Arabidopsis thaliana: one gene and its partner. Changing the gene in region 2 together with the main gene of any one other region gives a genetic interaction. Each region holds a gene or a part of one and is shown on either strand. Other genes may lie near its edges. The genes, in order: AN and KINESIN-13A.

Evidence for each region.
Region 1: of KINESIN-13A (region 2) and AN, changing one suppresses a phenotype caused by changing the other (phenotypic suppression), as found in Arabidopsis thaliana (one study listed by BioGRID).

Annotation. Positions count from the first base shown.
Region 1 is NC_003070.9:185,097-191,192, forward strand, and holds AN (NAD(P)-binding Rossmann-fold superfamily protein), read left to right. Parts: upstream 1-2,048; 5' UTR 2,049-2,138; coding exon 2,139-2,726; intron 2,727-2,914; coding exon 2,915-3,080; intron 3,081-3,187; coding exon 3,188-3,318; intron 3,319-3,432; coding exon 3,433-4,224; intron 4,225-4,320; coding exon 4,321-4,368; intron 4,369-4,465; coding exon 4,466-4,579; intron 4,580-4,668; coding exon 4,669-4,740; 3' UTR 4,741-5,376; downstream 5,377-6,096. Other genes in the region: AT1G01500 (Erythronate-4-phosphate dehydrogenase family protein), read left to right, coding at 164-913, 1,244-1,477; ASG4 (Homeodomain-like superfamily protein), read left to right, coding at 5,500-5,732, 5,845-5,902, 6,042-6,096. UniProt on the Arabidopsis thaliana protein: Involved in controlling the equilibrium between tubular and stacked structures in the Golgi complex. Required for cortical microtubules (MTs) arrangement that confers cell shape.
Region 2 is NC_003074.8:5,661,738-5,670,334, forward strand, and holds KINESIN-13A (P-loop containing nucleoside triphosphate hydrolases superfamily protein), read right to left. Parts: upstream 6,215-8,597; 5' UTR 5,831-6,214; intron 5,760-5,830; 5' UTR 5,678-5,759; intron 5,579-5,677; 5' UTR 5,525-5,578; coding exon 5,336-5,524; intron 4,890-5,335; coding exon 4,668-4,889; intron 4,269-4,667; coding exon 4,089-4,268; intron 3,978-4,088; coding exon 3,876-3,977; intron 3,725-3,875; coding exon 3,647-3,724; intron 3,403-3,646; coding exon 3,321-3,402; intron 3,185-3,320; coding exon 3,022-3,184; intron 2,775-3,021; coding exon 2,445-2,774; intron 2,253-2,444; coding exon 2,034-2,252; intron 1,944-2,033; coding exon 1,373-1,943; intron 1,262-1,372; coding exon 1,196-1,261; intron 1,106-1,195; coding exon 923-1,105; 3' UTR 638-922; downstream 1-637. Other genes in the region: TOC120 (translocon outer complex protein 120), read right to left, coding at 1-1; TCTP (translationally controlled tumor protein), read right to left, coding at 7,972-8,089, 8,183-8,469, 8,562-8,597. UniProt on the Arabidopsis thaliana protein: Internal motor kinesin involved in trichome morphogenesis. Participates in regulating the formation of Golgi-associated vesicles.

The DNA of each region.
Region 1 (6,096 bases), on a different chromosome or scaffold from region 2:
CTGAAACCCTCAAAAACCTAAACACAACAAACAAACAAACAAACAAAAAAGTTCCTGTTCGATTCCTCCTCTCATTCATTCTCTGCTTGTTCCTCAAATCCTTCAATTTTCTCATCAAATCCAGATTTGCGAATTTAGGTTTTCTTGAATCTAATCGTTCTCGATGATTTCGAAAGATCACCTTCATCATCTGGATCCTCTGGGTACAACCAAATCGTACCACATGAATACCTCCACCGTATCGCCGCCGTCTCCGGCATCATCAATTTCGTTGTCGCAATCGGCGTGGCTGGAGGTTCGTTTGTTCTACGTCCGTATCGCTCCTTGCGTCGTTGAGAACGTCCCTGACTTCCTCACCCTCCGTCACCCTCGTCGCGAAACCGGTGCTTCTCTTGAGGTTAACGGCGTTCGCGTTCCTTCGTCGCAGACGGCGTCGCTTAAACTCCGCCGTGACAGAGTCGACCGGGAATCGTCGGAGGTGACTTACGTGAGCACTGAGACCGTTCGCGTTACCGGATGCGTTGATTTCGAGGTTTATGATAACGAGGATATGGTCTTGTGTGGGAACCTAGATAGAATCGAAGGTGCTTGGAACAATGGAACTGTGAGTGATCCCAAGACTGGATGGGGCATGGATTGTTACATTGCTATGGGAAACGGACACGTGTCAGGTCCTTCTGCCTCTGTGTTTTTCCAGCCAAAGTTTGGAGTCTCGTCTCCGTCCGTCGAGGTTTATATAGCTGGTTGTTGTGGTGGTGTCCCGGTGATATTGACCAAGACGATTCAGGCGAGTCCGAGGAGGAAGGTGGCTAGGCACGTGACACTCGACGCTATCCCTGAGGATGAGGAAGTTGGCAAAGAGCAAGACATTGGTACCATTGGTGATGAATTGGCCCGTCAAAGCAAAGTACAGGTATGATTCTGATTTCACAATTCTCTGTTTGGTGATTGTCCAAGCCCTTAAGTTACGATTCTTAATAACTTGGGATTGAGATTTGAAAAGGTTGCTTCTTTCGTCTAGTTTTGTGAGTTATGAATGCTGTAGCAGATATTTAGTTATTAAGATCACTCGCAAGTTTCTGGTGAATTTAGCTCCTGCTTGAATGTTTTCTTTGACTCTACAGCTGAATTTGAAAATTGTAGAATTGTTGACTGATCAGAAATTGAGATATGGATATAGGTCAATAGACTCTCTTTGCACTTTTTTTGGTGCTTTATCTTGTTTGTCGTTTCGTTTATGCAGATGATGGAATCAGAAGTTGATGAATACGATGACTCAGATATGAAAATGGCACAGAGATATTACCCTGAAGGAATGTACGTTGATGAGGATGGTCAGCTCTCATGGTTCAATGCAGGAGTCAGAGTCGGAGTTGGGATAGGCCTTGGGATGTGTCTTGGTGTAGGCATTGGAGTTGGATTACTCATGCGTTCGTATCAAGCAACAACTAGTAACCTTCGTAGGAGGTTTCTCTGATCATCACCTACCATAAACTAAAAACCCACTTAGACATTTCGAGATCTACTAAGAATGTCGGTAACGTAGTGGGTTATAAAAGAGATAGAATTTTGGTAGATAGATGTATAGAGCTTTTGGTTTTCACCTGTTTGTGTCCTTTTGAATATATATATATATTCGGCTCTGTTCATATACTTTAGTAGCACAAAAGAGAGTTCCCATCTTGCTCCAGTCATGTTCTTTTGTTCTTTCTTTTCTCAAGTCTGTCTATGTCGTTGCTCTTGTGTAGAAAGAGATTTCGTGTTATTGTTGTTGTTGTCAAACGCTGGAGTTTGTCTTTCGGTTTCTGGTCAGGAAATAATGTGGAATAGGGAATGTACATGTTTCACCTGTATTCAGTATCTGTTTGCAATTAGTAAATTAAATTATTACAACAAGCCAAGTGGAAGACGGCGTCGTTTATCATAAATGTCAAACCGATGACGTCTTATCGGGGGAGCATGAGCATTGGACTAAAAAATTATTGTCAATTTGTTTAAATTGTATTTTGGGCCCTGAAAATTATTATAAATGAAATTTAGCCCCTTAATTTTGTAAGAGTTTACAACATTGAACCCTAAATCATTATGTTCCCAAAATCAAAATTTCACTCCTCGAGAGTAGCGAGAAGAAGGAGGAGATGAGCAAGATCCGTTCGTCTGCGACAATGCCACATCGCGACCAGCCGTCACCGGCGTCGCCTCACGTCGTTACACTCAACTGTATAGAGGATTGTGCGCTCGAGCAAGACTCCCTCGCCGGCGTTGCTGGTGTCGAATACGTCCCGCTCAGCCGCATCGCCGATGGTAAGATCGAGTCCGCCACCGCCGTTCTCCTCCATTCCCTCGCGTATCTTCCACGAGCAGCTCAACGCCGACTCCGTCCTCACCAGCTCATTCTCTGCCTTGGCTCTGCTGATCGCGCTGTCGATTCGACTCTCGCCGCCGACCTAGGTCTCCGACTTGTCCATGTAGATACTTCACGAGCCGAGGAAATCGCGGATACCGTCATGGCGCTCATCCTTGGACTCCTTCGACGGACGCATTTACTCTCGCGACACGCTCTATCGGCGTCTGGTTGGCTCGGATCGCTTCAGCCTCTTTGCCGGGGAATGAGACGGTGCCGTGGTATGGTTTTGGGTATCGTTGGCAGATCTGTATCGGCTCGGTATTTAGCTAGTAGAAGCTTGGCTTTCAAGATGAGTGTGCTCTACTTCGATGTCCCAGAGGTATGTTTGTTGGCAATGTCTCGCTAAGCTTTTAATATCTTAGTGTAAACTGACTCTTTAGGGACCAAAAAAAGTGCTGAGTTCTTAGCTACTACATTCCTAAACTGCTTACTATGATGGCTCTCTTTCAAGTTCCTCTCCCTTGGATGTTATATTTGTTGTCAATAGTTGCGTTTGCGTCTGTTCAGGGAGATGAAGAACGAATCAGGCCCTCGAGATTCCCACGTGCTGCTCGAAGAATGGATACATTGAATGATCTTCTAGCAGCAAGTGATGTCATTTCGCTACATTGTGCATTAACAAATGACACGGTTCAGATACTCAATGCAGAGTGTTTGCAGCATATAAAACCTGGTATGAGTTTTCTTGTCAAATGAAATTTGATTCTCCATGAATGTGAATTGAAGATGAACTTCTGCTTTCTCGCATTCCCTTCAATTCTGGTTGATTTTATGTATTAGGGGCTTTTCTTGTAAATACTGGAAGCTGCCAGCTGTTGGATGATTGTGCTGTGAAACAACTTCTAATTGATGGCACTATAGCTGGCTGCGCCCTTGACGGTGCTGAAGGTCCACAATGGATGGAAGCATGGGTATGACTTTCTTTTCCAGTGACTAAACTTCACATTTGCGCCTGCCTATTCTCTTGTTTCATCATCTTCTTCTGTTGTTTATCCTGCATCCATTATATCTTGTTTTCATTGCAGGTGAAGGAAATGCCAAATGTGTTAATTCTACCTCGCAGTGCAGATTACAGTGAGGAAGTATGGATGGAGATAAGGGAGAAGGCTATCTCTATCTTGCATTCATTTTTCTTAGATGGTGTAATTCCAAGTAACACTGTTTCTGATGAGGAAGTTGAGGAAAGTGAAGCAAGTGAAGAAGAAGAACAATCACCTAGCAAACACGAGAAATTAGCAATAGTGGAATCCACCAGTAGGCAACAGGGAGAAAGTACTCTCACCAGCACTGAGATCGTACGTAGAGAGGCTAGTGAGTTAAAAGAATCTCTGAGCCCTGGTCAGCAACACGTTTCTCAAAATACTGCCGTAAAACCTGAAGGAAGACGTAGCAGATCCGGTAAGAAAGCCAAAAAGAGACATTCACAGCAAAAATACATGCAAAAAACGGATGGTTCCTCAGGGTTAAATGAAGAAAGTACTTCACGAAGAGATGATATTGCTATGAGTGACACAGAAGAAGTATTAAGTTCCAGTTCTAGATGTGCTTCTCCTGAAGATTCCAGAAGTAGGAAAACACCTCTTGAAGTAATGCAAGAGTCTTCCCCAAATCAGCTTGTAATGTCAAGTAAGAAGTTCATTGGAAAGTCAAGTGAGCTACTGAAAGATGGATATGTAGTAGCCTTGTATGCGAAAGACCTCTCGGGCCTCCACGTTTCCAGGCAAAGAACGAAAAACGGTGGCTGGTTCCTCGATACTTTGTCCAATGTATCCAAACGAGATCCTGCTGCACAATTCATTATCGCATACAGAAACAAGGTAAACCTTTTTCTCTCTCTTACTTTTCATTTATCTTGCTTACAATGCCAGATAGACCATTATAAATTGGTTTTGGTGCATGAACTTGTTTTCCAGGACACTGTTGGTCTGAGATCATTTGCTGCTGGTGGGAAGTTACTGCAGGTAGCTCTTACATTAGAGAGTGTTACTTCCATTGGTAACTCAATGTTGCTCTTATGGAATCTAAAAGTGGTTGTGTCATGGGTGTGTGTGTGTGCAGATCAATAGAAGAATGGAGTTTGTGTTTGCTAGCCATAGTTTTGACGTGTGGGAGAGTTGGAGTCTAGAAGGTTCTCTGGACGAATGTCGGCTTGTTAACTGCAGGAATTCCTCTGTAAGTCTCTGTCCTTACAGAAAATGGCCCGAAATTGAAAAACCCTACTTCTTGGAAAACAGAAATAATTTGTGTAATGAATGTTGCAGGCGGTGTTGGACGTTCGTGTGGAGATATTGGCAATGGTAGGAGACGATGGTATCACACGTTGGATCGATTAAAAAGAAAAACAGAGTCTCTCCATTTGTGAGTTTCTCTCTTTTAATTACTTTTGTTACTTTAACATCCTTAGGATTCACAGACGAAAAACAGAGACACCCAATTTTTGTGTTTCGAGACTGTGTCGTGTGTTGTGTAGTTGGTATCAACCAACTTATATCTGTAATCATTGTTTCTTTTTATTTATTCTCGGTTTGCAGAAACATCCGATGAGCTTGTCTTAGAGGGACGTTTGTTGTTGTTTTCTGGGTCTGGTCGTGATGAACTCGAAAGCATTGTGTGTTTGGTTAGTAGTTTGAAATAGGTGTGTGTATTGTATTTGTATATGCTGCGTTTGTGTTTTAGAGATCATCGTACATAAAACACATCATCGTACATAACTAAAATTTGAGCTAAACTACAAAAGAAAGTAACCTTCATTTTTAGTCGAACCAGGCCCCAGCTAGGCAGCTATCTCGTAAATAAGATTGCTGGCTTACGATCGTATTCCACGTGGCAATTTATGTGCCGTGGATTTAAATTTGTACGTGGCATGAGTGTTAGGAGAATGTCCACATGGCTTGTAGTTGTTAGTCCCACGCTCTGAACCAGAGCAACCGGCTCCTTACACGTGTTCGGCTTAAATCCATTTTTCGAATGAGATTACACTTCTAACCTTGTCTCCCTCTCCCGCTTATACCACCACCACTCTCACACAAGTCTCTCAAGTCACAAACTCTGTTTCAAACCAAAAGGGAACTTTGTGTGTGTTGTCGAGTTTTATGGTGACTGTAAACCCTAGCCAAGCTCATTGTTTGCCTATGAAAATGAGTCTACCGGGTTTCAATACTCTTCCCCACACGGCAACAACGATACCGGTTTCCATACGGAGCAATAGGACGATGTCGTTTTTTGAGGATCCAACAAAGAAGGTTAGAAAGCCTTACACTATCACCAAATCTAGAGAGAACTGGACGGAGCAAGAACACGACAAGTTCCTTGAAGCCCTTCATCTGTATGTTGACACGGATTTCACTTCTCTGCCTTCATTTATCTGATTAATGATATATAGAATCTTTGAGATTTGTTCTTCTTCTTCTGATATGATCATGTCTATTTGATTGCAGATTTGACCGGGATTGGAAGAAAATAAAGGCCTTTGTTGGATCAAAAACAGTGATACAGGTAATCAATCAAACATATGCATTCCATACTTTTGTCTGAAGTTACATATAAGTAATTTTATGAACTCTGTTCTTTGGGGTGGAATTGGAGATATAAGTTCTATGTATGTTGGATAGTAACTAGAATATTGGTTTTGTAGATACGAAGCCACGCACAGAAGTACTTTCTCAAAGTTCAGAAGAATGGGACTAAAG
Region 2 (8,597 bases):
TTTCTAGGATCACCCAAAATCACGAAACACTGCACCAACCAAATTTTGTATCCTCGTTACTTTTAAATCCACAAGACACTAAATTAAATGGGAGTGAAACTAATATTTTCCAAATCGTAGGTATATTTTGCTCATAGGAATTCAGAAAATACAAAGAAGAATCTATTGATATTGAGGAGAAAAAGTGATGGCGAGAATCTAACCTGGTTAGAGAAGGCAAAAGTCTGGAAAGAAAAAAAAACAACTTCATGCGCTTTTTTTGTATTTGTATAAATCGCCTTTTACTCGCCTGCGACAGTGCGACTACGACGGGAAGGAGAAGGAGATAAGCGACTTTCATGGACGGTTTAAATCGGTTTGGGTTTTAACATCGGACGGTGGAAAATGGCTCTTATATTGCAATCGTGAAAAAGGCATGTCACGTGATCAATAGTAAAGTGTGGGCCAAGGCCTTTTTAGTTGGGCTGCATAATCTTGTTGGCCATTTTATCTTTACGACAAGAGAGAATTGCTTTATTTGTTCTTTTGGAGCTATTCAACTGTCTTTTCATTGGTTGTCACTATATAGATGGTATTTGAAGATCTTATTAATTGTTAGAAATTTGATTTTATATATGGCTCACCAAATTTTGAAACATTTTCAGATGATAAATGGTTTTATACTTTTTCAGTTGATTGATAAAAGAGTTTGATTCACATTGACAGTATCCAGCTTTCTGGGAGGATAGAGGAGAAGAGAAAAATAAGAAACACAAAAGGTATAACTTTATAATAAAGATTCAAAAATAAAAGGAAAGAAATGCCCAAATTCACAAACATGAAGGACATTTCTGTCATTCTTTGTCATATATAAGAAGAGATCACCCAACCAACCTTTCACACTTAAACAACACCACACTTTTGGTTTTCCTTCTTCTACCAACTACCGAGGAACTCTCTTACGGCTCAGTATTTCTTGTTCCTTGAGACGGTGTTGGAACCGAGCAAGCCTGGCTTGAAGACTGACTAGCCCTGCTGCTTTCCGGGACAACACAAAGCTCAGTTGCGTCACATAGTTTTCTATCATGCTTCCCGGTTGGTCCACCTCCGCTAGAAGTTTCATTTCCTGATAATGATATAACAGAAAAGAAAATTGAATGATGTGATAACATTCTACAATCGTTTTTTGTGCGCTGCAATGATGTGATTTACATACCTCGCGAACAATCTCCATTGTATCCTCAATTTCTTTTCTGTGCGCTGCAATCAGAGCTTCTTCTTCCTGAAAAAAGTCATGTGATGGTTACGATAAGACATAAACAGAACTACCGTTACTTGCAAATCAAATTCACAGCTTCATCTCATGTTTTAAAGGGATAGGTGAGTACTTTACCTCAAGCAGTGCATCGAGGTTTTCATCAAGCGAAGGGTCGGTTTCATATTGCCTTGAAGCGGTTTCATATTGCCTTGAAGCAGTTTCACTTGCGTTCTGTCTAAAATTTGTCAAGGTAGGGATATCCGACGAACTGACATCTCTTTTAGACCAATTTTGTGGTCTGTCTGGTTTTTCTTCCCGCAACCCTTTCCCACGAGGTGGTGACACTTTCTTTACTTTCTCTTCACGGTCTGAAGTTTCTTGGGGATATGAAGAAATGTTGTTTCTCTGACTAGTGGAGCCAGCAAAAGAACTGTTCGGCTCTGATCTTCCCTTGTCCATTGAGAATGATGGGATTCCACTTTCCTCTCGATAATTTGTAGGCTGTCTGAAGTCAATACCCGACGTACTGCTGTTGCTGTCCTTCTCGACCACCCTCCTCCTGGTTTCTGGTACATTCACTTCCTGTGGAGGCTCAAAGACATCTTCTACATCATTTGGGCCCAACAAAGGATCCTTATTAACCGGAGGCATTGAATTCGCAGTTTGATCTTTCTTGCTATTTCCACTTTTAGATAGACTTTTGACTCTGTTTATTCCATACATAACCAACAGAGGTTAATAGACGATGAAATTGAGAATTTGTTTCACAAGAGGCTATAGTTTGTACAAAACATACCGATCAGCATATCTTAGAGTATTGAGGGTATGTTCACACGATCCTGCATTTGGAGAGATGCAGGAAATCATCACCGTTCTTGAGTTTCCAACAAATGAGTCACGGAGCACTTCCGTTAGTTTGCTTCCACGAAATGGTATATGTAGCTGGTCATTGTCCAGTGCACGTATACATTCCTTAAGAGCCAAGAGACTCTTGTTGATTTCTGCGCCTTCAATCCTAAGAAAAATCCACAATGAAAACAATGAAGCATTTAGATCTGAAGTGTGGTGGTCCTAAAGTAAAAAGGTAGCAGCAAAGTGCCACTTTATCAATGCCCACAAGTCCAACAGAGGCATAAATTTTAATCTACACATTAGTGGTAGGTCAATTCTCAAACTACTCAATCACAGGGGCAAAGAGAATCTTTACCTTGTCTGGCGATCATTGTCTGTGGTGTCTGCACCTCTTTCACTGCCAGCAAGGTCAATGAAAGAAATCTTTCCCACAACTTTCCCAGGCAATTCATTACTATCATTATTCCTCCGTCTAGTGTCTTTTACCTCAACATGCTTTTTTACAACAAGCTGTAGGATGGCATGCGATCTAGAAGATTCCTCATTTGCTCCAGTTGAACCTGTGCTCCTTTCGGCATTTCCTTTCTCGATAAAATCCTTTACAATTTGTACATCTGAAACTTCATATTCTTGCAGGCCAACAATGCAAACTTGCTGTCTACCATCTTCTCGCATGCAAAGTTTCCTACTCGGCAATAACTGAATGATTTAGACAATGGTAAACATGCATTTGCGATAGTAGTAGACAACAATGGAAAGTATTGACACTGATAGGATGAATAAGTGCCAATGTTTACGATATACTGACATCGAAATAACAATTATAAGCTAGTATATGCCTGAACAAAGTATATGCCAAAAGAAAAGGAAAACATAAAACCCCTCAACAAAGACGACATTTATAAGAAATGAGAAAAAGAAAGAACACTAACTTTCTCTCACTGAGAAGATCGAACAGCTTTCCACCATATATCTCAAAATAGCTGAGCCACAATTTAAACCTCTGATTGCTGTATACTGGTTGACGCAACAACCTCATAAGATCTTCAACTGCTCGTATAGGTAATGGTTTCATTGTAAATGTCTTACCACTACCTGAATAAGCAAAACATCATTAGGGCCATGAAAGCATGAAGAAACTATTAATCTATTATCCTCTAAAAACTGGAATCTGTTAGCAAGAGTATAACTATCAGTGTATTTCCCAATGAACATTAATGTCATTGCATACCTGTTTGGCCATATGCAAAGCATGTAGCTTTAGTTCTCTGGAAAATAATGGGAATTATTGGCTCAATTGTGGCCCGATACACCTATTCAAGGAAACAAACAAACATGTTCAAAGCAGCATAAAGCTTCTGTATATATAAAAAGCTTAATGTATCCATACATCAATCCAATCTGGATTGGGGGAAACCACATGCTATGATCTAGTTAATAGGTCAATCAGGTATGTCGACCTTGACATAAATCATAAATCTACCAAAGCTCAAGGTTGCATCACGGACACCTAATAGGATTTTCTATGGTTTCCAATAAGCTCAATTCTTAACTTACCTCGTCATTTGAAACATCCTCATCTAGAACAGCATCAAAGCAGAACTCATGCTTTTCCACATAAGCAGTCAAATCAACCTGCACCAACAAGATTACGGTTCATTCAATATTCGAAAAGACAATATTAAATGAAAAGAATATATGACCTTTAATAGCAGGATGCCATCGTTCAGTTGTTCAACTGAATCATGTTTGCCATTGTTATCTATGATGAAGAATGCACACAAACCTTCACTCTGGGCTCATGGACAGTCAAAGAATTATCAGATACCGTCACGACATCCTCCTCCTTTTTAGCTGTTTCTTTCTTGTTTAGGGGTCTTTTCCTTACCTATAGACAAAAAAAAAAGTGGTTTCCCAATCATCCCTAGTCATAATGAACGTTGCTTATAAAACAATCAAGTAGTAAGGAAACATGTCAGTTCTCAAGTGAATGACCTACCACTACTTTAATCTTGGCTACACTGTTATTTTCTTTATCACTTTTAGGCAATAAACCCAAAGGTTCAGCTTCTGTCTGTTGCCGCTGTTGACGATTAGCTGCCAAATTATAGTCTTCTTCAAATTCTTTATTTACACTAGGCATGAAAGGTGACGGCTCAAAGGGTTCGGTAATCACATGCTGCAAAATGAAAGGAAAGTCACGTATCATAAAAGTTGGTAACTTTCACATGGATAATCGCTTTCTTTATGAACTAGCAAATGCAACAAGCAGTTATTTAGCTCAGATGCTTTTCTAATGACAACAAGACCAAAACTGTCACATCTCGCTAAATCCATTCGAGTGTCAAGATCAGAAGTTGCCTACAGAAGTCTCGCAGATAGATTACATGTGCACAAAGCCAATGGATTAGGTGGGACTCAATATGGCAATGTAAGATTGGCAAGAACAGTTTGAAAACTGGGATGTAACACAAGAACAGACAATCTGATGATGAAAATTTATGATCTTTCTGTTATCCATGGGCACTAATGAGTAACTATGAATAAGTCTTTGCACTAGTTCTTCTTCCAAGCATACCTCAGATAGAAGCTCTGTATCATCCATTGCATGAAGATCCAATAATCCTGCTCCAAAATCACCTCTGAACTCAGGTGAAAAAAATCCTTCCGAAGAGGGCATAGCTGCTGATGTGTGAGCAGTTGGTGTATATGATTCAGAAGTCGACTCCCCATTAAAATTGAGATTTCTCATTAGTTGGAACAGTCTTTGTTTCTCTTCAGCAGTCTGAGCTCCATAACCCTAGCAGATACCGCAAACACCACAAAGGATGCTTCAAATATCAGAACCCGTTCATGCGAATTATACAAGAGCCAAGGCAAAAGTTTCTATAGAAATTTACCAATCGAAGAAGAAATCACTAACAACCCTGCAGCAAACATCTAACTTAATCACATTACATAAATGGCCAAACAAATTCCAAGCTCTCCTTGAGATACGTTATGACTAATATCCATAACAGGGAGAAACAATCCTACATTCCTAATTTCCTACTGCAGCGTTTTTAGTAGTCTAACACCAAATGTGCGCAGGAATTAGCGACCGAAAACTCTAACAAAACTTGGCTATCTGCGTCTAATACAAAATTTGCATACTTTACCAAGCTAGGGCAAACTCCATCAAGAAAACTAAAGGGCATGCAAAATATTGGAAGAGTACAGAAACAAAGAATCAGGGAAAGCAATTACCTGCATGAGAAGGTTTGGGAGGTGACGCTGATCATTGCCTGTAGAAGCAACAGGAGACGCCAAATGCTGCAAACCAGCGGATTGAAGCCACCGTGCCATGACTGCATCTCCTGCGTCATTAGTGGGTAAAGCCCCATCGTAAAGCGCCGTCGCAGCCGCAGCATTGTTTTGCTGCATTTGGCCGCCCATGAGGCGCTGTGATCTTCTTTGAGGAGCCAACTTCGGAGATCTGTAAAAACAACTCTTCATCCATACAAAAACCAGAATCACCCATTTGTTACAAATCAAAAAATTCCTAATTTCAACAATAGAATGTTAGATTCAAATCGAAGAGAAACTCACAATGTGGAGAGAATTCGGATTCAACACAGAACATGAAAGCGGAAATGTACAGCTCCCGACTTTGCTTCACCTCCTTCAAAATCTGAAATTCAATCAATAAATTGCATCCAATAATCGGAGAAGAAGATCGATGTTATCCAAAGTAATGATTACCAGAAGGAAACGAAGACACGCAACGGTGTTAGATAAGAGATCTGAGATCTGAGATTTTCACAATATACAATCAGATCCGACGAGTGAAGAACCCTAATTTACGCACATCGAATAGCGTTAGAGATAGAGAGATAGAGAGATAGAGAGAGAGAGCTTCTGTTCAAAATTTTCGTCTTCTTCCGTAAGCGACGTTAGGCGCAGAGAGATGAGAAAGAGAGGGGCGTTGAAGAAGATTTGACAAAGTATAAGACACTTACACAATAAATTAAAAAGTTTGAGGTGTTTAAAAGTTTTTTAAAAAAGTGACAGTTAGATCACCCTTTAACTTCAGAAATATTCACCGATTTGTCCTACTTTTTAAGATTGTACAGTCTAGTCCAAAACATTTGAAACAATCTTCTTTGAACGGTCTTATATATTCTAAAAGATAGTGTTGAAATATTATTTTTTTGCTGAGATCGTGACACAAGGACATATACCAACATGGTGACATAAAAATAGAATTGATGTTCTCATCTTGAATCATACGGTATGAATCTCATACCTTTTTGAGCAGATTGCATAAACATTGATTGGTTTATTATATATGTAGTATAACTAATAATATAACCTTGGTGGGTTGATCAGTTATGTGCATTTTCAGATTTTAGCTACTTTATGGTATTTAAGGATGTTGTTTTGGACCATCTATGGTAATAGAGATGAAATTTGAAATTGTCCGAGGAAGATGACATGAGTTTTTCTCGACATGAAATCCACAACTTTTGGAATTTTAGTACATGACAATGATCTAATCTTATATATTCTTATGTTTGTTTAAATTTTTATACGGTTTCAAATTTTGAATTGTTTAGATGTGCGAATATAAGTGAGTGTATATCAAAAGTACCAATCTTGTGTATGTATGTGTACTGTTTAAACCCCAAAAAAAAGTGTTAATCCAATAAAATATACGAACGAGAATATGCAAAAGTAGCGAAGTGGGGCTAATACAGCTTGTGGGTTCCTTTCTTTTGAATCAAAAAGCTTTTGCTTTAGCCTAAAGCATTCCGATCTAAAGGATTCCTGATTTTAAGTAATCACTATATAAACCAGTATGAAAGGAGCTTTTCCTTTATTTATCCTTCCTAAAAACATTGGTCTCTCTAGTTTTGTGTAAGTTTAGATGATCTACCTCCTTTGTATGGCTACGTCAATATAGTCATATAGATAGAAGTTGATACTACTTGTTACATAAGAAATGTTTAAATAGTGTAGGCTAAAAGCCTAAAACGAAAGGAACAACAAAGTTTGAAGAAATAATGACGATAAATACATAAGATACAAGAGAGTTGGAGCAACGTCAAACCGACCAAGACCAAATCACGTTTCCTTTTACGTGAGACACAAATACGTACCAACGCATTTTGGTTGCCCTCTCATCCATACGGACACCACACATACATAAATAAATAGTTCGAATAATAAAACCAACAAACTAAAAGAATAGTAAAGCATAGGATAGGTTGTGTTGTTTGTCAAAGTAAAAGAATACACATAATACATTATTATTACGGCCACATTGTGATTTGTCTCACAACTAAAACCAAGATGACAGAACTCTAGTTAGTATCGATTCCGCACGTGAGATAGAAATCCTTGATAAGGAGCAGAACATGCCTATGATGATGTCTCAAGACATCATGTCTGTACGAAACTTTTTCTTTTTAAAGGGATAAAACACCATTAGACTAAAGTCAAAAGAATCATTCTACAGCATATTCCATGATTTAAAGTTACTAACAGTTAGAGTAACCCACTCGTTTATTCACGTCCATAAGATCTGAATCCAAAATTATTAGACATCTACTATAAACATGCCTCGAGATTCGGGAGTTTAATTTAGAAAAGCAAAGCTGAAGAGATATCACACCAAATAACACAAAAAGTAACGACCAAAATTCAACTAATTGTAAATGATAAACCGTTTTTTGCGGAATAAATAACTTGAGAATCTTCCAACACAGAAAACAAGAAGAGAGAAAAGTAAACTGGCAGGTAATTTTAATAGGGGACGACGACGAAACACAGGACAATATAAAGAAACATAAACTTAGAGAGTCGCTGCGACCGACCACAGTAACCCAACGAGAGCTTCTCTCTCAGCACTTGACCTCCTTCAAACCATGAGCGAAGTACAAAAATGTTGGGTTAGTTGAACCCTCCTTGTAGTAAGCAAAGACCAAAGTGCTGTCATCATGCATACCCTCCCCAACAAAGCTGTAAAATCAGACAACACAAGCATTGATGAGATTTCAGATGAAATATATGTCATGTATAACAAGCAAGATACGATAGATTGGGGTAACTTACAATTGGAAGTCACTGAGCCTGGGGAGCAAAAACTTGGTAGCTCCCTCAATACCCTTCTTGAAGACAGCTTGATCTTCTTCGCTGAGCTTGGGTGTCAAAAGCTTAATGTATTTCTTAATGTAAGCGATGAATCCCTTCTTGTCATAAGTTGGTTGCTCCTGAAGTCTGAAGGTGTCGACAATGTCAACAACCTTTTGAGTAGAGTCATCAACACCTTCATCCTCACCACCTTCTTCAGCAGATGGATTGGCACCAATGTTAACATCTACAGCTCCCACAGTAACCCACTGGATAACAAAATCAAAACCCAATTCAGAACAGGAAAACAAAAATTTAACAAAATCAAAACAAAACTTGAAGTAGAATCGATGACACTGACCTTTCCTTCTACTTCCCAGAGGATTCCATTCTCAAT